Linked DNA regions of Rattus norvegicus. The protein of the gene in region 3 purifies or fractionates together with the protein of the main gene of each other region. This does not show direct contact. Links are inferred from orthologs where the notes say so. Each region holds a gene or a part of one and is shown on either strand. Other genes may lie near its edges. The genes, in order: Son, Ccdc86, Srpk3, Ebna1bp2 and Ftsj3.

The links.
Region 1: the proteins of Srpk3 (region 3) and Son purify together in Homo sapiens (affinity purification with mass spectrometry; 3 studies listed by BioGRID and IntAct, with this or other methods). This does not show direct contact. The link is inferred for Rattus norvegicus from reciprocal best matches to the Homo sapiens genes SRPK3 and SON.
Region 2: the proteins of Srpk3 (region 3) and Ccdc86 purify together in Homo sapiens (affinity purification with mass spectrometry; 3 studies listed by BioGRID and IntAct, with this or other methods). This does not show direct contact. The link is inferred for Rattus norvegicus from reciprocal best matches to the Homo sapiens genes SRPK3 and CCDC86.
Region 4: the proteins of Srpk3 (region 3) and Ebna1bp2 purify together in Homo sapiens (affinity purification with mass spectrometry; 3 studies listed by BioGRID and IntAct, with this or other methods). This does not show direct contact. The link is inferred for Rattus norvegicus from reciprocal best matches to the Homo sapiens genes SRPK3 and EBNA1BP2.
Region 5: the proteins of Srpk3 (region 3) and Ftsj3 purify together in Homo sapiens (affinity purification with mass spectrometry; 3 studies listed by BioGRID and IntAct, with this or other methods). This does not show direct contact. The link is inferred for Rattus norvegicus from reciprocal best matches to the Homo sapiens genes SRPK3 and FTSJ3.

What each region holds. Positions count from the first base shown.
Region 1 is NC_086029.1:44,391,475-44,394,984, forward strand, and holds part of Son (protein SON), read left to right. Parts: intron 1-62; coding exon 63-223; intron 224-453; coding exon of another isoform or gene 454-459; exon of another isoform or gene 460-1,968; intron 1,969-2,122; coding exon 2,123-2,269; intron 2,270-2,555; coding exon 2,556-2,744; intron 2,745-2,841; coding exon of another isoform or gene 2,842-3,096; exon of another isoform or gene 3,097-3,510. UniProt on the Homo sapiens protein: RNA-binding protein that acts as a mRNA splicing cofactor by promoting efficient splicing of transcripts that possess weak splice sites.
Region 2 is NC_086019.1:217,018,634-217,022,680, reverse strand, and holds the start of Ccdc86 (coiled-coil domain-containing protein 86), read left to right. Parts: upstream 1-1,241; 5' UTR 1,242-1,261; coding exon 1,262-1,962; intron 1,963-4,047.
Region 3 is NC_086039.1:156,660,566-156,664,811, reverse strand, and holds the start of Srpk3 (SRSF protein kinase 3), read right to left. Parts: upstream 2,811-4,246; coding exon 2,755-2,810; intron 2,678-2,754; coding exon 2,547-2,677; intron 2,373-2,546; coding exon 2,264-2,372; intron 2,164-2,263; coding exon 2,076-2,163; intron 1,777-2,075; coding exon 1,689-1,776; intron 1,213-1,688; coding exon of another isoform or gene 1,207-1,212; coding exon 1,100-1,206; intron 1,029-1,099; coding exon 863-1,028; intron 766-862; coding exon 740-765; intron 265-739; coding exon of another isoform or gene 253-264; coding exon 132-252; intron 44-131; coding exon 1-43. UniProt on the Homo sapiens protein: Serine/arginine-rich protein-specific kinase which specifically phosphorylates its substrates at serine residues located in regions rich in arginine/serine dipeptides, known as RS domains.
Region 4 is NC_086023.1:137,432,347-137,436,343, forward strand, and holds the start of Ebna1bp2 (probable rRNA-processing protein EBP2), read left to right. Parts: upstream 1-1,187; 5' UTR 1,188-1,261; coding exon 1,262-1,327; intron 1,328-1,402; coding exon 1,403-1,486; intron 1,487-1,681; coding exon 1,682-1,854; intron 1,855-2,392; coding exon 2,393-2,516; intron 2,517-3,403; coding exon 3,404-3,493; intron 3,494-3,738; coding exon 3,739-3,814; intron 3,815-3,997. Other genes in the region: Cfap57 (cilia- and flagella-associated protein 57), read right to left, coding at 519-675. UniProt on the Homo sapiens protein: Required for the processing of the 27S pre-rRNA.
Region 5 is NC_086028.1:91,684,375-91,688,564, reverse strand, and holds the start of Ftsj3 (pre-rRNA 2'-O-ribose RNA methyltransferase FTSJ3), read left to right. Parts: upstream 1-1,385; 5' UTR 1,386-1,422; intron 1,423-1,506; 5' UTR 1,507-1,532; coding exon 1,533-1,599; intron 1,600-1,767; coding exon 1,768-1,873; intron 1,874-2,335; coding exon 2,336-2,382; intron 2,383-2,483; coding exon 2,484-2,563; intron 2,564-3,111; coding exon 3,112-3,211; intron 3,212-3,296; coding exon 3,297-3,491; intron 3,492-3,584; coding exon 3,585-3,700; intron 3,701-3,791; coding exon 3,792-3,896; intron 3,897-3,975; coding exon 3,976-4,076; intron 4,077-4,190. Other genes in the region: Psmc5 (26S proteasome regulatory subunit 8), read right to left, coding at 301-372, 974-997.

The DNA.
Region 1 (3,510 bases), on a different chromosome or scaffold from region 3:
GACAGAACTAAAAACGCATATAGCTTTTAGGAAAACTGCTTCCTGTATTTTTCCTCTTACAGATAAGGCTCAATTACTTGAAATAGCCAAAGCTAATGCAGCTGCCATGTGTGCTAAGGCTGGTGTTCCTTTGCCACCAAACCTAAAGCCTGCACCTCCACCTACAATAGAAGAGAAAGTTGCTAAAAAGTCTGGAGGAGCTACCATAGAAGAACTAACTGAGGTAAGCTAGACAGAATTTGTTTCCATTCTTAAATGGATTTTTCCATGGATGTTGACTCTGGAGCGTGCCAAAACCTGAATTGTGGGCTGAACTGATAATGGCTGGCACCGAGTGCCCAAAACCCGAAATACAGATGTGGCAGCGGCAGAAGCTCTGTTTAGCAGGCCATTATCCGGGATGGCTAAGCTCCGCTAGCTAAAAAGTTACTTCCCATTACTTTTGCTTTCCAGTTTTAGAAGCCAAACTGACTGAGGAGTGGAACGGTTCGTTTGAATGGAGGAGGTGTTGAGTGAGCAACACGCAGAAGCTCGCCTACAGTTTCGTTTCCATTCACGACGTGTTCACTGATCGCCAAGAGTGTACTGCATATACGCAAAGACACAGACAATCTTCAGAAATGATCTTTTGCCACCGGAGCTTGGAAATTAATGAGAATAGCTGGCCATTGCCTGAAAGGAACTTCTTTCGCATCAACATTTCGGGTTTTGGCTGTTTGGTACCAGCCATTGGCGATAATGGCCGGCCATTATCAGTTCTTCCTGCGGTTCGGGTTTTGGCAGTAACATATTTTAAATATACTTATTTTTGTTTTTAAAAATTTGATCTTTTGAAATTGAGGCTTTTGGGGGAAGCTTTGTTTTACTTTAATATTTTTTTGTGTGTGTGGGGGAAGACGCTGAAATATTGCTGCTAGGATCCAGAAATAACACACTGTTTCATATACTGAAACTTGCTATTGGCTAGCCTTATGCCAGCCTGCCACTGTCAACATATTCTGTTCCCATTGGTTACATGCTTGATACATACACTCTTGTGTTTTTGGCTAATTGAGCTTTTTAATTCTATTGTAATATTTTCAATTGATAATAGATGTGATAAATTCTGCTTGTATAGACAGGTCTACTAAAATTTACTCTTAACCTTTTTATAAGTGGAATCTGCTCCTTTGCTCCTGAGGAAGGACTTGACTTTGTATGCTGGACTGCATCAATTGCGCCCTCTCCATCATGCCTTATTTTCCATTCTTAAGTTACAGTCCTTAAATAAATTTTAAAAAACATTTATGGAGAGAGATGTTACTATTTACCCTGCCACAGATGTTTAAAATCTTTTACCATACATTTGGGGATTATAAAGTTAAATTTGTTTCTTCACTTAGATTCATTATAGTATGAATTATAACTTAAAAAAGACCTAGCAAAAAGCCTCTATTGCTTACTTACCAAATGCAAGCTCTTTATCTAAAACTTTATGAACGCTTAGCGTTTGCTATTGTTTGCCTCATCTTCAGCGTTCTATCCCTCTGACAAGTCTCTCCCAACTTGCTCACCACCACCTGACCAAGATGACTTCCCTTTCCTTCCTATTTCTTGTTCTTTACTGTGGGAATTTTGCTTAGAACTCTTGAAGGAATATTCTTTGATCCTTAAACCCTGCCTGAATATCCTCTTTACGCCTTTGTTCTCTAGCACTATGTACCGTGTGTATTACATCAGTTTGCACTTGTTACTGTGTTGCTCTGTAAAAAGGTTCTTCAATTACTTCATGTGGATGTACTTTTGTCTCGTATTAGATTGTAAGCTCCTTTGGAGCAGGGACCATGTCTTTCCCTTTTTTTATCTTCTTTCTTTCTCTCTCTCTCTCTCATTTTTTTTTTTTTTTTTGTATTTTTTTCCCAAGACAGTGCCCAGTACAGTGCTCTGCACATAGTAGGTGCTCAATAAATGTTGTTGACTGACTGAGCAGCCAGTGTGTGTTTAAATAGTAGCTGATGATCAAAATTATGGTTTTATAAGCTATCATAAGTGTTCTTTGAATTGATCATACAATATTCTTTTGAAAAAGTTACATGCTGTTTTTGTAAGCCATATTCATCTTTTGTTTGTTTTTACTTTAAAGAAATGCAAACAGATTGCACAGAGTAAAGAAGATGATGATGTAATAGTGAATAAACCTCATGTTTCGGATGAAGAGGAAGAAGAGCCTCCTTTTTATCATCATCCCTTTAAACTCAGTGAACCCAAGCCCATTTTTTTCAATTTGAATGTGAGTATTAGTAAAGAGATAAGGACTGATGAAGCATCACGGCTCATCGGGCTGTTGTAACACCCATGTGGAGTTTAGCTATTGTGATGAATAGTGACAGCATTTCCTGAGTGTAGGGCTGGGAGAGTTCTGTGGTAGTGAGTGTGCCCAGGATGTGTGAGGCTGTAGGTTCAACTCCTGGCACTGACAAAATAAAAGGAACCTTTCCTTTAGACTGCATTGAGATTCTTTAGAAACTGTAGAAGGTGTCTGTTACAATGGATTCTAACTAAATACTGTATTTCAGATTGCTGCAGCAAAGCCAACTCCACCAAAAAGCCAAGTAACATTAACAAAGGAGTTTCCTGTGTCATCTGGATCTCAACATCGGAAAAAGGAAGCGGATAGTGTTTATGGAGAGTGGGTTCCAGTAGAGAAAAATGGCGAAGAAAGCAAAGATGACGATAATGTGTTCAGCAGCAGCTTGCCCTCAGAGGTAAGTAGGAGGAACACCACATGTTTGCTTTAATATCTGAATCTTCCATTTTATTGTTATTTTATATCTGATTTGGATTCTGTTTCACTCTTCTTAGGGCCGGGTTAAACGGCAGGGCCGGGTTAAACGACAGATGAAACAGCCCGCAGCTTCTCATTTGACAGTAACTCGATGCAATTCACTTTGTGGAACGAAGCCACAAAGTGAAAAGCATCGAATTGCAGAGAAAAGTGTTATCACATCCCTACCCAACATTGGGCCCTCCATGCACTTGTGGGAAGGTAGCCCAAGGTACAACTATTTAGCTTCCCGATTTGCTTCAAGGCTCTATAGCTCTAGATTTTGGTGGTAGCAAGTTTATTGGGTGGAGGGATTGAGGGGAGAGAAGGCAGATCCTGAGGTTCAACACAAGAACTGCGTTGAGAAAGTTATTTTAGGCTGATGTGAACATCTTGGGTTCATAGCCCATTCCCTGACGTGATGGTATCTTACTATTTCTCTGGGTTTTCAGATAGCCTTTGGTTTCAGTCATTTCCCTTCCTTGTGCTACCTTAGCCCTTTTGAATTCTTGTGTTTAACCTAGTGTTCAGCCTTGGTTCTCCATTCCCTTCTCCTTCCCCTCTTTGCTACTATTAAAAGTTGGAGGAGTGGAATTTTATATATTGAAATTTCTCAAGGCAATAGTTGTATCTTGTCAAAATGACACAGTAACAATGCCAAATGTCAAAACAACCCCATTAAAATGCCGCCTGATTAAGTACTGTGC
Region 2 (4,047 bases), on a different chromosome or scaffold from region 3:
AACTCCATCAGTATGCATCTGAGACCATGTGTGCAGTGCCTAGGGGGTGTGTCCAAGAATTGGGCATCCACTTTCTACCCTGCAGAAACTTTTCTCTGGCTCTACATCTTCCTTGCCTCCTCCTGGGTCAGCATGTAACCATCCTGGCAGAAATGAAGGTATTCTAAAGAGACACTTTTGCCTATCAGACAATCAAACAAACAGTGGACTCCAAAGAAATGGGAATTTTCTCAGAATTCTCATGCTGGGAGAAGAAAAAAGGGTACCAGCCAGAGGGGAGACAAAAACGGGTACCAGCCAGAGGGGAAATTTGTCCCCTGGAAAGAGCTTGTCAGACCACCTACAGGATGAGACTAAAACCCAGATAATGGTGGGGCAATGGTGGACAGAGTCATACCTTGATAAGGACTACTTAAATGTATTTATCCTTGGCCCTCTATCTAAACTTTCTATCTAACTTTAGAACCCTGAGGTCGAATTTGGGTGATTCACAGAATCTCTTTGCCTCTCTTCCCAGTATGGCCATTTGAATAATTCTTTTTCTAAAGCTTTCCAATTTTAATTTGGCTCTTTCCGGTGGTTTGTTGACGATGGGGTAGCCAGACCTGACTTCGGGCACACGCTGTGACCCCCCAACATTGACAACAAAGCAGTCAGGGTTTTCTGGGCCTCAGACCTGACACTTCGCTGATTGAAACTGTTGAAGCATATCTGGGCACAGTAGTAAAAGAGATGGTAAGGGTGAGAACGTTTAAGAAAACTCAAAAATTGAAGATTTCCCACTCATGCAGACCCCCAGGGCCTCCTCCTTTGTTACACTGCGCAAAGCTACTATTACAAAAGATAAAACAAAAGAAAACGTGACGTATGCGGGCCCAGCTGTTCCAGAGTAAATTAACACGCTCAGCTCTGCCTACAAACTCCCTCCGCCTTTTTGCCAACCTCTTCTCTCAGGGAAAAAAGAAAAGGTATACCCCACTCCAACCCCGCTTCTCTTGCACCTAGAACTCGCGGTTTACAAAAACAAAAACGACCAAAAAAAAAAAAAAAAAAAAAAAAAAAAACCGCATCGCGGAAACCCAGCAACCAGACACAACACGCATGCGTCTACTAAGCCCAGCCCCCGGGACAAACATCCCCTGCTTTTCCACGCATCACTCTACCGCCAGTGCGCACTTCCTGCCCGGTACGGAAATAGACGAGTCTGACGTCATATGAAGGCGCCGACGATTCTGAAGGCTACGGAGACTACACGTGAGCCATGGGTACGCCGCTGAGGCGCAGCCGGCGGCTGGAAGGCCTAAACCCTCTGTCTCTGGAGAACCTTCCTGACCCCGAAGTCTCTCGGGCCAAACGGGCTCTTGTAGATTTCAAGTCGAACCCAGAAGAAACAAGAGAGCTCGAGTCTCCGAGAGTTCCGCCACTGGACCTTGTGTCTCCCCAACCTCAGCCGGAGACTAGCCCCGAATCACCCTGTCCTAAACAGGATGCAGGCTTTGGGTCCCCACAAAGGCAACCAGAGCCTCACCCTGGGTCCCTTCAACTTCATCAAGATCTGGGCCTGGATTCACCTGCAGGACAGACAGAGTCGAATCCGGAATCCCCGCAACGAGAGCAGTCATCCAAATTATCTCCCACACAGGACTCTGAGGTAGCCCACGCTAAGGAGGAGGTGATCCCAAGATCTCCCGAGCCTTGCCCGGGTCAGCAAGCACCGGGTCCCGAGCCCTCCCAGCCAGCACAGGAGCTGGCATTCCAGGCACCTAGCTCCCCAGAGCGCCAGCTGGAGCCAAGCAAGCTACCTCCGGCTGGAGAGTCAGTGACCGGAAGTCTCGACCTAAAGAAGCGAGTTATAGCTTCTCCCCAGGCCCCAGCGTCCAAGAAACTGAAGGAGGAGCTTCCTGTAATTCCGAAGGGGAAGCCCAAATCCGGGCGTGTGTGGAAAGACCGCTCCAAGAAGAGGTAAAGTGAGGACAGCATGGGCGATGTGTTGGGTTCTCCGTGCATTTGGACCTTGCCTTCGCCTGAATGAAATCCCAGACTTGAAAGAGCTCACCCGAGTAAAATTAACAAACAGGATCATGTCAAAATGCCTAAGGGAGATCCTCAGTGGTCTTGAGGTGTTCTTTTGAACTTCCTTTCCTTCCCTTTTTTTATTGCGAGGCAGGGTCTCACTGTGTGACAATGGCTGTCCTGAAATTCACAGAGATATGCTTGCTTCTGCCTTCCTAGTGCTGGGTTTGAAGGCATGTGCCACCTTGTCTGCCACATCTAGTGAGGGAAGCAGAGCAAGAAAGGCAGCCATTATAGTGAGATCCTTTTTACTGTAAAATATCATCACTGGTTCTGTGTCACTTCCTTAGGGATGGCCAGAGAGTGAGTCTTTCATAGCCAGCCACACATGTAATCACATTTAATCTTTCCCCTTTGGAGCAGGTGTTACTAGTATTAATATTGTACATCTGAAGAAAACAAGGCTCACGGAGGCTAATTGAGACACGGGATGGGAGCATAGATTTGACCGCAAAGCGAGTGAGCGGAACCCATTAACCTGCTTCTGTTGACCAGCTTCACTTGGGTTGCAGCCTTCTTAAGACATGGGGTCTTCCTTGTCCTTTCAGTGCTGGGGCATGGTAATGCTGAGTTTATATTTTTCAGTAAAGGAATGAGGAGGCTTATATGAAGGGCATTGTTTAGGCAGCAGGGAAAGAGAAGTGGGTTCAGTTGAAATTTCAGCTCTGGAGAAGAAGTAGGGTTGAAGTATCAGCTACTGGCCAAAGACAAGAATTCGTAAGAGAACAGGGCATCAGAGATTTTAAGAGGATGACATTGACGGATGATGGACTGTGCCAGGCTTTGTGCAGGCACTTTACAGATGTCATTTTGTTACTCTTAAAGCCTAAGCTCTGGGTATAACCCCTCCCCCAAGCATACTCCATTAAACTTAAGAAAGTTAAGCTTAAAGAGAAAGGCACCAATCAGAAAAACTTTGAAGCTGCTCCCAGCAAGTCACAGTAGCCAGGCCACTGATGGCCACAGGCAACCTGTTACCCTTCTATACTGTTATGTACACACAGGGGGGTGCCGTGGCTGAGAGGCTTCCTTGCCCAGGGTCTCATAGGAAGTAAATAATGGTCTCAGGACCAGACATCCAGGCCTGTTTTCCATCTCCAATAACTAGTGCTGAACATCGACTCTGCCTCAGTGCTGTAGCCACTTGCTACATTTACATTCACTATTAAATGAAATAATCTATGAGTCTTCTTAACACAAACTACAAATCAAGCGCTACAGCAGCCTATACGTAGTGATTCCCTTTCAGGAAGGGGCGGGGATCATTTCCATGACGGAACATTGTTGTCACTGATGCTCTAACAAGATATAGTATTATGTCTAGTGGCTCTGGTTTCTCCAGGCTTCCATCATCCTGTCCTTCCAGGATTCTCAAATTCCGGTTTGTTAAGAGTGAAAGGAAGTCCACAAGGTACCCACTGCTCTGCTTTTTGGAAGCTGGGTCTTGAGAAAGCTTGGGGACTTAGCAGAGAGGAGAATGCTGGTGTCAGAAGCTAGCGATGCAGTGGGAGGGGACAGAACCAGACTGCCTGTGAGTAAACCTGGTGCCAAGTTCCACACTGTGTGCCAGACTCTAGGAAGGGAGCAGACACTCAGAAATGCAGCATTGACCTTTGTCTGGTCAGCCACAGACATGCACCAAGGCCTTCAGAGACAGGGTTCCTCAAGATATCCTCTAACAGGCAAGTAAATAGGAACTCCTACACGAGTCAAGGTTGGAGTGTGGGAGGCAGAAGGGCCACTGTGAAAGGATCTGCTGAGGAGCCTTAGAGTTCTGGGGATAAGAGAGGGTTGGGGGGAGAACAGGCCCATGGGACACCCAGCAGACTGAGCAGGTAGTGGGGGAGAGATGTGAGGGCTTGTCTTCATTTTATTTTTACTTTTTATCACAGAAAAGGAAAGAGCTGAGTTTTATGAGTCCTATCACCAGTTTCAACAGTTTTCAGCATTTCCTGGCCCAGCTTTATCTTCTGT
Region 3 (4,246 bases):
GAAGAGGTGGAGCCACTGCCCTGCTCTAGTCTTGAGCTGGAGTCTGAGGAGAAGGGGCAGAGGGGAACATGAGTAGAAGCCTGCAGCCCACATGCATGCTTAGTGGCCCAGTGCCCTCTCTGGCCCCTCACCCTCAGTTTGTACTGCAGCCTCCATAGCCTCCAGCCTCTGCAAGTCCCTCAGCCGCTCCTCCAGCAGCCTTTTCTGTTGCTTCCTTTTGCGCCTCATCTTCTTCCTCTTGTTTTTGGACAGCTTACCAGTCTGCTGCCAGAGTCAGGGTTACCTGCCAGGTTTCCCTGCCCAGCCCTGAACCCCAGAACTAACTCCCCTGGGTATCAGAACATGGGTACTATCTTGTCTCACCCTTAATCCCAGCCCCTCATCCATTTCTCTGCTTCTTCTCCTATCCTACTTCTTAAAGCTTTGTGGTTTGGGGAGAACCTAGTGGGCCTACCCTAAACTGCTCCTTGTCTACTCCCAGCCCTGGATGAAGCTGCCTGAAGTAGCCATTTGGGGAAGGCACAATATCCTTCCATTGAGGTGGTAGTGGGCCCATTGGCCACCAGAGGCAGTTTGGAGCACATGATACACTGTCTAATCACTCTCTTCTCAGGTACCCAGCTTTTTAGAAGTTCAAAAGATGGAACAACTGTGGCAGAAGAACCAAGCTCTGAGGACATGGCCTCATCTAGCTTGGATTGGAAGCGGAGACAGGGAAAGAAGGGGTGCCACAACTTACCAAGACCTCCTGGGGGGCAGTGCTGACTGGGTGTGAGGGGTGGGGAGAGAAAAAAGAATAGTAATTCAGGTAGGGATTGAGGTCCAGAGTCCTGGTGTCAGTCCCCACACATGCTCTTGGTACCTGTGGAGCGGGATGGGGGCTGGGCCCCTGACTGCTGCCACTCTGTGGCTTCAGCAGCCAGGCGCCTGATGTAGGCATCTCCAACACACAGTAGAATGTTCTCAGGCTTGATGTCCGTATGGATGATCTTGCACTTAGTATGGAGGTAATCCAGACCATGCAGCACCTGGCAAAAGCTACAGCTGAACCCTAACAACCATACCCAGCCAACCTGAGCAGCATGGGGGCAGCACCTACCTGCCTAACGATGCTCTTAACACAGGGCACAGGCAGGCCCTGGTAATTGGACTTGATGATCCACTTCAGGAGCTGGTGGCCCAGGACCTCTAGCACCATGCATACATCTGGACCTGGAGTGAAGGGCAGTCAGCAACACGTAGCTAAGGCACAGGCTTACCTACCCTCCATCATGGAGGAGGACCTAGACTCTAGAAATGCAAAGATCAGGGAAGTAGGGCTTTCTCTGGACCATCTTAGTGGCCACTACTGTCCCAGTTTATTATTTAGAATGTTTCTGTCACTGACAAAGATGTGCCAGTTAGGATGGTACCTCTTGTCATCCTACAGATGTCTCACTCCAGCCTTACTCTTCTGCCCAAGTAGTCCTCAAAAGTAGCCTCGTAATTTGGGAGTACTCTGCAGATAATCACAGATTATCTGCTAGTCACAGATAATCACTGTCAACCTAATTACCTGTGTTTCCCCTACTCAGAAACACAAGCGCCCAAAGGGATGGAGTTGTTTAATAGGTTCTCCCTGCAAGGGCTAAATCCCATGGTGCATTGTGGCTCCTTGACTGCCATATTGCTCATTTTGCAAAGGATACGGACTCCATTAACTCCTGAGATCCTGAAGTCATCGATAAGTTGAACAATGGTCTCTCTTTTGGGGTCACTAGGGTCACTGTCCCGAACCTGGAACAAAAGGCAAGGAGCCACAGATGACTCCCAACCTGCTCCCCAACAGCTGCTCTGCTCATATGCCCTGAAGCACTTTTGGCCCCCTTTCCCAGTCCAGCTGGGGCCCACTTAAAGAGAGCCAGCTGCCTCTTTCAGGCCTCTGCTCTCCGGGTCCTTTTGCTTGGCAGAGCCAGCTGGAGCCTGCCCCCTCTGGGAGCCCCGCCCCACTCTTCAGGGCCCCAGCAGGCCCTGCACCCACATTGCCAGGCCCAAGGCAGTTCAAGGGGCCGGGAGCAGTAGGGGAGGCGCCTCACACATTTCAGGAGCTTGATCTCATCCACGGCTGTCTCTGTGTAATGTCCTGCGCTCTTCACTACTTTCAGAGCCACAAAGCGCTTGCGCCTGTAATATGGAGACCCTCATAGGCTGCCAGACCTTGTCACAGTCACATGGTCAGAGTGGTAGCCTCAACCAAACCCACGGGCAGATCGCAGTCACTCACTGAATATCCCAGCAGAGCCAGACAGTAGAGAAATGGCCCCAGCCTAGCTTTCGTACCACATGGTACCGCCCATTGAACAAATCACCGATCTTCACTGGGTAGTAACCACCTGTAGAAGGGAGCCAATAGATCAGAGTAGGACATTTCTCTCCCTTATACCTCAATATCAATGTCCTGCTGGTCATCCGTCTCATGTAGGCCTACTTTTGGCAACTTTTTACACCCAAGCTGTCCTGAGCCCGTGCAGTGGCAATCTCGCTGGCCACATGCAGCCAGGACTTACCCTTGCAATAATCCTTAGGGTCTTCCTGCTCCTCATCATCAGAGCCCAGGAGTCCCTGCAGCAAACGAGGTGCTGGTGTGGCTGGAGCTAATTCAGAGCTTGAGGACTCAGGCCCACAGGAAGTCTGAGAGCTGTGGGTGAAGAGGGAGGATGCAGACAGTGAGCTCACAAGGTGCAGGTGACCCCACTCTCCCCAGCTTGGTCATACCTGCTGCTGCTGCCACCACAGTCCATACCACCACTACCACCGGCACTGGCACTCATCCTCGTGTCGCAGCCCAAAGCTCTGGTGCACTGGACCACTGTTCCTGTGGGGCCCAGCCGTGGCCAGTGCATTTATAGCTTCTGCCGCTGATCTCACCCGCCTTTATAAATAGCCTCCCAGCTGCTCAGCTGTGGGCAAGGTATGCAGCACAGGGAGGGGGGAGTGCACTGATGGTAGCCCTGCCCCCCCTTTCACCCACACTCTAGAGACAGAGGGAGCCACCAAGCTGCAGTTATGATAGCAACTCAGTTCCTAGGCTGATTCCCTACAGTGTAGGACTAGCCAAGGAAGACATCTACATGGAGATGGAGCTCCTATGCTCTAACGCTCTAACAGGGAGAGGAGGCTCCTATGAAAGAATGGAGTTGTTATGGTGACCAGGTCTTTAGGCTGAGCTCTCTCCAAATGCTGCAGGGTACTTGATACATTCTTTAACTGCCCACTTAACCTGTGTGAGTATACTTTTGGAGGTGACCCCCGCCAATCCCATCTGAACCCTATGCTCTGCTCATCCTCAACCCTGATCCCAGCTCTATTTTAACTCATAGATACTCCCCCATACAGGTGGGAGCCCAGATCTTTCCTCTATGTGGCTGGGTCAAGGGCAAGAGCTAAAGGCAACTCATTCCTCCCATCAGAAGCAACAGGCCCTCAGACTTGCATAGCATCCCTTAGGGCTAGAGCTGGTCATTTCTGCCTTGCTGTCTCCATCAGCATTTGCAGGTTCCCATTTGGGCCAACTCTTCCATGTCCACCAGGAGAAGAAAAAAAACCTCACAGTTGTTGTCCATGAGCTAGTTGGTAACTGAGGAATCTTGTGCATCTTGAGGAACGAGAAAGCATTATGTCCCCAGAAGCATTCAGGGCACAGTGCGCCAGCATGCTACAGAGTGCTGGGAAAATAACTGATACATTCTTGAACTTCTGGGCTTTCTAAAGTTGGTAGAGTGATGGTATTTCATAAACCAGTTTTGGTGGTGGAATGTGCCTGTAATCTCAGTACTCAAGAAGTACCCAGAAGTTCCAGGTTATGCTCAGCTACATAGCAAGTTCAAGGCCAGCCTGGAATGCATGAAACCCCATCTTTAAAAATAAAAATGTCCTGGAGAGATGGTGCAGTAATTAAGAGCACTGACTGCTCTTCCAGAGGTCCTGAGTTCAAATCCCAGCGACCACATGGTGACTCACAACCATCTGTAATGGGATCCAATGCCCTCTTCTGGTGTGTCTGAAAACAGCTACAGTGTACCCATATAAATAAATCTAAAAAAAATAAAAAATAAAAAGAATACTGGCTGCTATTGTCCAAGTTAAATTCCCAACACCCATGTGACAACTTACATGTCTTCTACAACTCCAGTTACCAGAAGACTGACACCCTCTTCTGGTCTTCCTGGCCATCACACACAAGGAATATATAGACATACATGCAGGC
Region 4 (3,997 bases), on a different chromosome or scaffold from region 3:
TTCCAGTGTCTCCATCATACGAGGGTTTGATGAAGGTCATGAACTCTCGAAACTATTAGACTCAAAAGAGGTTTCTGGTGAGGACAAACCCGACTGCAGGAGAATGCAAGAAAAACCACTGTTTAAAATAACTCTTCTTTGTCACTGTGAAAAAGTACTTTTTTTTTTCTTCTTTTTTTCGGAGCTGAGGACCGAACCCAGGGCCTTAGGCTTGCTAGGCAAGTGCTCTACCACTGACCTAAATCCCCAACCCGAAAAAGTACTTTTAAAATGAGTGTTATTTTATGTGTCATTCTGGCTACTTGAGTTGGGTTAATCTAAGATTAAACAGTGTAAATCGACATTTATTTTGTCTGCATTTATAAAACTATGTGGATAACCCAGTTATTAAAAAAAAAAAAAAAGATCTTCCCAATCGTTGAGATTGTGCGGTTCTGTGCAGCACATGCCTTTAAATGTATGTGTCAGGATGGGAAGGGTGGGTTTTTTTTCTTTTCTTTTCTTTTCTTTTTTTTTACCTGCAATGAATTTTTGCCATTTCTGATCTAGATTGTACTTCACACAGTGATTTCCTGAAGGAAATATAACGATCTGTTCATCGAAGAAGAAGATGTTGTTGGTCACGTGAGACCGAAGACCAAAAACATGAAGCGACTGAGCTACCACGGTGGACATGGTACCTGTCAAAGAGTATTGTAAAAGATTAAAAAAAGAGGGGCTGGAGAGATGGCCCAGCCGTTAAAGGCTAGGCTCACAACCAAATATATAAAAAAAGAGGCAGGCGGGTGGGAGTAAAGACATAAGAGTGTATCTCCCTGCCCCACCCATGGCCCCGCCCCACCCTGGGCCCGCCCCACCCTGACCCCGCCTCGCCCCTCCATCGCCCCGCCCCCAGGCTCCTCTTCCTCTTCAGCCCACTCCCGGGGCTCTTTCCAAGCTTTGCCTTCCTCCCATGCACTCCCAACGCCTCCAGGCCTTTAGGTGGACCCCAGAGAAACTATTCACCTCTTGCTTCACGACTCTGGATTACTATACAACGTAGCGACCCGCAGGTGTTCTTCCTAAAGAGCCGGAGCAATCCGGGCACGCCCAAACGCCAGAGCAGTTCCTATAGCAACGAGAAAACCGGAAGTTTGGCTCTGCACCCGGAAGCGGAAGTACTTGTTGAAAAGCCAGAGGCTAGTGGAGAAGTTGCTGGCGCTGGTGCGTCTTGCTGGCACGTGGAGTGGCAGCCGAACCTCGCGGGGCGGGAAGCCGCGAGATGGACACCCCTCCGCTCTCAGACTCGGACTCCGGGTCGGATGAGTGCCTGGCCTCAGATCAAGAGGTAGACGCTAGCGGGGTAGGGGGTGGAACGGGAACTTTATTTAGCTCTTCGGTACTGAGGCGTCCCGGTCTATAGTTGCAGGATGCGTTTTCCCGCGGACTCCTAAAGCCAGGCCTCAATGTCGTGCTAGAGAAGCCGAAGAAGGCGGTGAATGACGAGGTGAGCTCGTGCGAGGGTCGGGGTCCTTGGAACGGGATGTGCACAGGCGCTGTGCTTCTTGGGAGACCGATTCTTGTGGGACAGATGTACCCCTGCGCAGCGGGCGTCATCCTTGCGGGTATTTGAGCATAGGACTTTGGGTTTGAGGGAGACAGAGTCGCGGTTCTCATGAGTGCCGTGTCTGACTTTATCTAGAATGGCCTGAAGCAGTGCTTGGCTGAATTCAAACGGGATCTGGAGTGGGTTGAAAGGCTCGATGTGACCCTGGGTCCTGTGCCTGAAGCCAGTGAAACTCAGTCAACACCCCAGAACAAGGACCAGAAGAAAGGTGTTAATCCAGAAGACGACTTCCAGAGGGAAATGAGTTTGTACGTTTGTTGTGGGTCCTTCTACAGAGTTACAGAAGGAGGATCTTAGTGTGTCTGCAACCTCAGGGGCACTGGGGAGTTAGCATGAGCCAAGAGAGTGGAGCTAGGGGGGTTCCTCTGGTTGAAAGAATAGATTCTTGGTCACCATTTAACCAGCACCCTGCTTGAGGGATGTTTCAAAAATAATTCATTTGAAGTCTGGGTGCCTCCAATCGTCAGAATAGACCTTTGCCTAGGGAGTGCTTGAGTGGTCTTTCTGTAACGATTGGGAAACAGTTCATAGTTTGCTCAATATTTTTTAATAAGCTCGTTTTAAACCTTCTTATTCTTGGAAGTATTTTCCCTTTCTAAATAAACATAAAGTGAAATTTCAGTTATATACGAAATTAGTGGAGTTTTAGTTGACTCGTTTGTTTTATCTTGCCAGTGAAGGTGGGATGCGACAGCTCTGAGGTTAGTTAACTTCTGAGAGGCAGTAAGAAGAAGCGAATGCCTCTTCCCTCCCCTCCCCTCATTTCACTCTGTCCTGTAATTTCAGCTACCGCCAGGCCCAGGCTGCTGTGCTTGCAGTATTACCCCGACTCCACCAGCTCCAAGTCCCTACGAAGAGGCCCACTGATTATTTTGCAGAAATGGCCAAGTCTGATCAACAGATGCAAAAGGTAAGTTTTTCCTCTGGAAAGCGGAGGTTTCTCCTGAAGTCTATTCGTTCCAGCTGGCTCATTTCCTGTAGTCTTTCAAAAAGGAAACAAAGATTTATACTATTTGTAACTAGTATTTCTATAGTCTCTGCTTCAGAGGCATGGCAGTCACTTAGATAAATTAGGGAGAGACGGTCTGGAAGAAGTGTGGTCCTTGCAATAAGAAGGCTTGTGTATTTCCTCTCTGGCAGGGTGAGTGGAATGGTACAGACACAGTAGTCTTATAGTTCTGGGTCCAGCAATGCCAAGAATACTATTGCTTCTAGACCGATTTTTCTTCTCTGGGCCTTTAGCTTTCTAGAACTGAAGGCTTGATATCTAGCTAAGATATGGTATGATTTAGAGTTAGGGGGATTTGATCTTCATTCAACTTTGGGAGAAAAAAACTCAATGTCCCACCCAGGATGTATTTAAATTGTACCATTGGTCTCAGTCTTCATCTTAGAGAATTACAGGTCGTACCCCAAGAAGCTGCCCGTGTGAGACGAGCACAGATCGTCTCTCTCTCACAGTCACACTGATAACAAACACTGTCAGTACAGTGTGTGTGTGATTGAAGAGGCAAGGTGTGAGTGTGCAGGAACTTTATTACATAGGTGGGCCATTAGAGGAGAAGGCTCAAGTTTAGCCTTAGTCTTTGGGGAAACAGGTCCTGTGTGACAAGCAGGCAGCTTTGTGACGGAACATGCCTGTCTGGAGAGGCAGGGCCGCTTCTCAGCAGTGGCTGCCCACTGACACTCAGCTTTAGGACTGTATTGTCCTTAATGTGGAAGCTTTCAGAGCTAGTAAAACTTGGAGCCCCCTTCTAGTGTGCTCCAGATAGTGCCTAACAACATCCCGTGCTTTAGATTCGACAGAAGCTGCAGACTAAACAGGCTGCCATGGAGAAATCTGAAAAGGCCAAGCAACTTCGAGCGCTTAGGAAATACGGAAAGAAGGTGAGAAAGGGCACCTGTGTGGAATGGCACCGCCGGGCACGCCAGGGCTGATCGTGGTGGGGTTTGGTTCTGGCCCTGTGCATGTTTGATCCTGATAAAGTGTCTGCTGGTGTCCCCAAACACAGGTTCACTTGGCACTGTGGCACACCTGGGTGTATCCAACATAGTGTGGTAGCGGCGGCTGAGCTGGCAGTGTCTGGAGTCACGGTTTGGGATGCAGGACTAACCATGTATCTGTCTCACAGGTGCAAACTGAGGTCCTTCAGAAGAGGCAGCAGGAGAAAGCGCATATGATGAATGCCATCAAGAAGTACCAGAAAGGTCAGCGTGTCTGTCTGCTAAGAATGTAGGGAAACCTGCGTATCAGTGCCTTAGAAGCGAAGGGATTCTCTAGTTCTTTGGAGTTATCTTGGCTTTCATCTGCTAGGCTTATGTTTGGGAAATGTTGTGGGGAACAAGATGTGCTCCTTCAGATGCAGTTAGGGAATAGCAGGCATGTCTTGA
Region 5 (4,190 bases), on a different chromosome or scaffold from region 3:
CTTTTGCAGAGGGCCTGGGTTTAGTTGTCACTCTAAGTGCCTGGGAAAGATAACTATCTGTAACTCAAGTTTCAGGGGATCCACTGCCCTCTTCTGCCCTGCGCAGGCACCTGCATACATATGATGCATATAAGCTTACGAAAGCACACATATACACATATGCATAATAAATTAACAACTGAAGAGCTACAAGAACGACACTGGAAAAGAACACTTTGCTGCACTCCCAGTGGAAAAAGGACGTTGAGAAATCTGCACCTACCAGCTAGCTCTCAAGCTCCCTCTGGTGTCTGGACTTACCTGGAGTTCTTCAATCTTGGACAGATAATATTGACGGAGTCCACTGCCTGCCTTCCCCTCTTCCAGTTCCATCTGAAGACAAGTGTAATTGTTAAACAGTTACGTAAACTACTAAGGGATAAAGCCAAAGTATTTTCAGGGCACTTTACCATATAGCTTAAGAAACAAGGCCAGGAAAGTATCATTCCCTTTTCCTCAGAAACTGGTTATCTCCATAGGTGAGGTCTGTGTGTTTGAACTGCAAAGGCTTAGTTATTGGTTCTAATCCTTCACTTTTGAATCCACTAAAAGGATGCAATTACCGCCTACCTTCGAAGACTTTTAGGAGGCTCAAGGGGCCATATACTTACAGAGCGCTTTGCTCTGTGGCAAGAGCTATACAAACCCAAGGTGTAACTACTACAGACAAAGGCAGAACAGAAGGACCAAGTCCAGGTCCCACCCAGGCCATTCCGGCTTGCCTAGCTCTTCATTCAGTTTTTACCCAGCCCTGTCCTGCTTACCGCGGGTGGCGCTGACACAGCAGATCCAGTTCCAGGCAGGGTCAAGTCTGACGTGGTCCACCCACCCCTGATCCACTCGACCCTTTTGCTAGTGGCCACCCCTCAGTTCAGATTTTGTGCACTCCACACTCGGCTTGGATGCCGCCCTGACGCCGCGGCAGAATCCTTACCTGCTCTGGCCCATCAAGCGCCATCTTCCCTCCTTCGGCAGGGACCGCCGGCATCCAAGTCACCCTATTGCGCAGGCGCGGAGCCGAAAGCGTGCGACCTGGGTCACGACCGAGAACAGTTCCGGGTCAATGGGCGGGGTGTGTGGTGAGACAATAACAGTGGCTTTATTACAGGCTCTACTGGCGGTTAGTAGGTTTGTAAAGAGATATATAACTTATGGCGGATGCTTCCTAGAGTCTAGGGAGTAGTTATTGTACTCTACTTCCTAGCCTCTACTTTTAACTTGCAAGACACGCTGACAAAATTTTTGGCCACACTCAAAATGGCGTAAATCAAGACGCTAGGAACACAGGGAGCGCGAGCGGAAGCGGAAGTACGATCACTACCCACATGTGCTACTTCCCTAAGTGTTGAAAACCTGCGGAGTTAAGGGCTATCTAACGTCTCGGTAAGTGATTGCTTCGCCACCCGAGGAACCGAAGCAAAAATCCAGCGCTCTGAAAGATATTCTCAACTTTTTCTTTCTCCCCAGAGTGAGTGATACTACCCCATCCCGCCATGGGCAAGAAAGGCAAAGTAGGCAAGAGCCGGCGGGACAAGTTCTATCACTTGGCCAAGGAGACCGGTGAGTGGGTTTGCGCTGCGTGAATAACATATCAGCCTTTACGCTTTTTCTAATATTGTGTTCCTTTTCCTTAGGGGGAGGGTGATGGGGTTGTGAGGCTGTGGAAGTCCTCTTAGAAAAGGCATCCGTAGACGTTATTGTTTTATACATCCACTCCCTACGGTCTAGGTTATCGTTCGCGTTCTGCCTTCAAACTGATCCAGCTCAATCGCCGCTTTCAGTTCCTTCAGAAAGCCCGGGCCTTGCTGGACCTGTGTGCTGCACCTGGAGGATGGTAATATTTGGTTGGCAGGGACTGCTTGTGATGATACGTCCCTTGCACTGGCTGGCTTTGAGTTGCTTTGGGGGAGGATGGAAATCCGATTATACAATTCAGATTAAATATTCCATAGCATGTGTCTCTCCTAAATTTTGGAAGTCAGTGTCATTCTTTTTTCCCCTCTCGTGGGACTGAACCTAAGGACTTACTCATGCTAGGCAGTCGCTCCACCACCGAGTTATATCTCCAATCTGCTTTCTTTTCATTGAGACAGGGACTCTCAGAAATTGCCCAGGCTGGCCTTGAACGTTTGGCCTTGATAGCTGGTAATGCAGCCCTGTGTTGCTACGCCCAGCAGCTTGCTTCTTGAATGTGTGCATAGACAATTTGGCCAAGACACTTAACAAGTGCCCCTTAAGAGGCTGGGAAATCACATTGCCAAGGGATGAAAGGTATTTAAACCTGTCTTTTCCACAGGCTGCAGGTGGCTGCCAAGTTTATGCCTGTATCCAGTCTTATTGTAGGTGAGTGACTCTTGGGTATTTGAGGGGGAGGGGTGGGAGAGGTATTAAATTTGTCCTACATCTCCCTCCACCCTGTAATACACCGACTTAACATCTTAAAGGAGTGGACCTGGTTCCAATCAAGCCTCTCCCCAATGTGGTGACTCTCCAGGAAGATATTACAACAGAACGCTGTAGGCAGGTAATAAGATCTCTCCTTCATTCCCTCTTATGTGCTGGCGCCCTTGCCTCCTGAAAGTGAGACATTTCCCAATTTACCATGGTTTCAAGTGCATGGCTAAAGAGACCGTGACAATCCTGGTCACCTTTCCATCTTTACCTGTTTTTTATTTCCCCTTTTTCCCTTGAGATAGAGCCTTGCTGGGTACTTGGGATAGTTTCTAACTATGTAGTTAGTCCACACTTATGTGGAGCTGGGTCCATGGCCTAGTTTTGCCTTGATCTTCCAGTCTGTCTGCCTCTTGAATACTGGGTTCCACGTGCCACCAAGCCTGGCATGGATAGTGCTGTGAACGGGTGGAAGACTCTTTGTTCAGTAAAGTTCTTTCCAGTGAACCAATTCTAAGCTTGGCAAAGATAGGTTGTGTTGTTGTTGTTGTTGTATGCCTAGTACCTGGCACTGTGATGCCAATGGTGGGCACTCACTCTGACTAGACGGATGACTGAATCAGAATTCTGTTCTTAGCAATCATTGTGTTTCCATTGCTACAAAGCCTTTACTTTCATTAGGCCCTGAGGAAGGAGCTGAAGACCTGGAAAGTTGATGTTGTGCTCAATGATGGGGCTCCCAATGTGGGGGCTAGTTGGGTCCATGATGCTTACTCACAAGGTACAGGGAACGTGGGCTTGGAGGGGAGGGTGGAGGTGGCGTGCCCTAAGGCTTCAGGGGTTCACTGGCTGTTTCTGTCCTACAGCTCACTTAACTCTGATGGCTCTGCGTTTGGCCTGTGACTTTTTGGCCCGTGGTGGTTGTTTCATCACGAAAGTCTTCCGCTCCCGAGACTATCAGCCTCTGCTGTGGATCTTCCAGCAGCTGTTCCACCGTGTCCAGGCCACCAAGCCCCAGGCCTCTCGTCACGAATCTGCAGAAATCTTTGTAGTCTGCCAAGGTAAGACACAACCCCTTCCTCTTGACACAGCCTTCTAATTATGAAAGCATACCTTTAATCTAGCAGAACTTTTACTCTCTCTTCTCATTTTAGGATTCCTGGCTCCGGACAAGGTTGATGCTAAATTCTTCGATCCCAAGTTTGCCTTTAAGGAAGTTGAAGTTCAGGCTAAAACTGTCACTGAGTTGGTGACAAAGAAGAAGCCAAAGGTGTTTTTATTGTTATTATTTTGAGAAACTGGGAGAACTTGATATCTTAGAATCGACTGTCTAGTAATCATCTTTTATTTCCCTTCCTAAGGCTGAAGGCTATGCTGAAGGTGACCTCACTCTGTATCACCGAACCTCAGTCACTGACTTCTTGCGAGCTGCCAATCCTGTTGACTTCCTCTCCAAGGCCAGCGAAGTGAGTTCCTAGATTGAGAGTCTATAGGAGGCCCAGAAACAAGGCCAGAACAACGTCCCATTCTTTCCCTCACAAACAGATCTCAATAGACGACAAAGAGTTGGCACAGCACCCAGCTACCACTGAAGATATCAGAGCATGCTGTCAGGACATCAAAGTGCTGGGGCGCAAGGAACTTAGGTACACAGGAATAAGGGCAACACTATGTTGGACTCTGGGGACCAGGCTTGTGTTAAGTTTATGGCTGAAGCCTGAACTCTGGCGTGTGGACTTTAAGAAGAGACAAAGATGGAG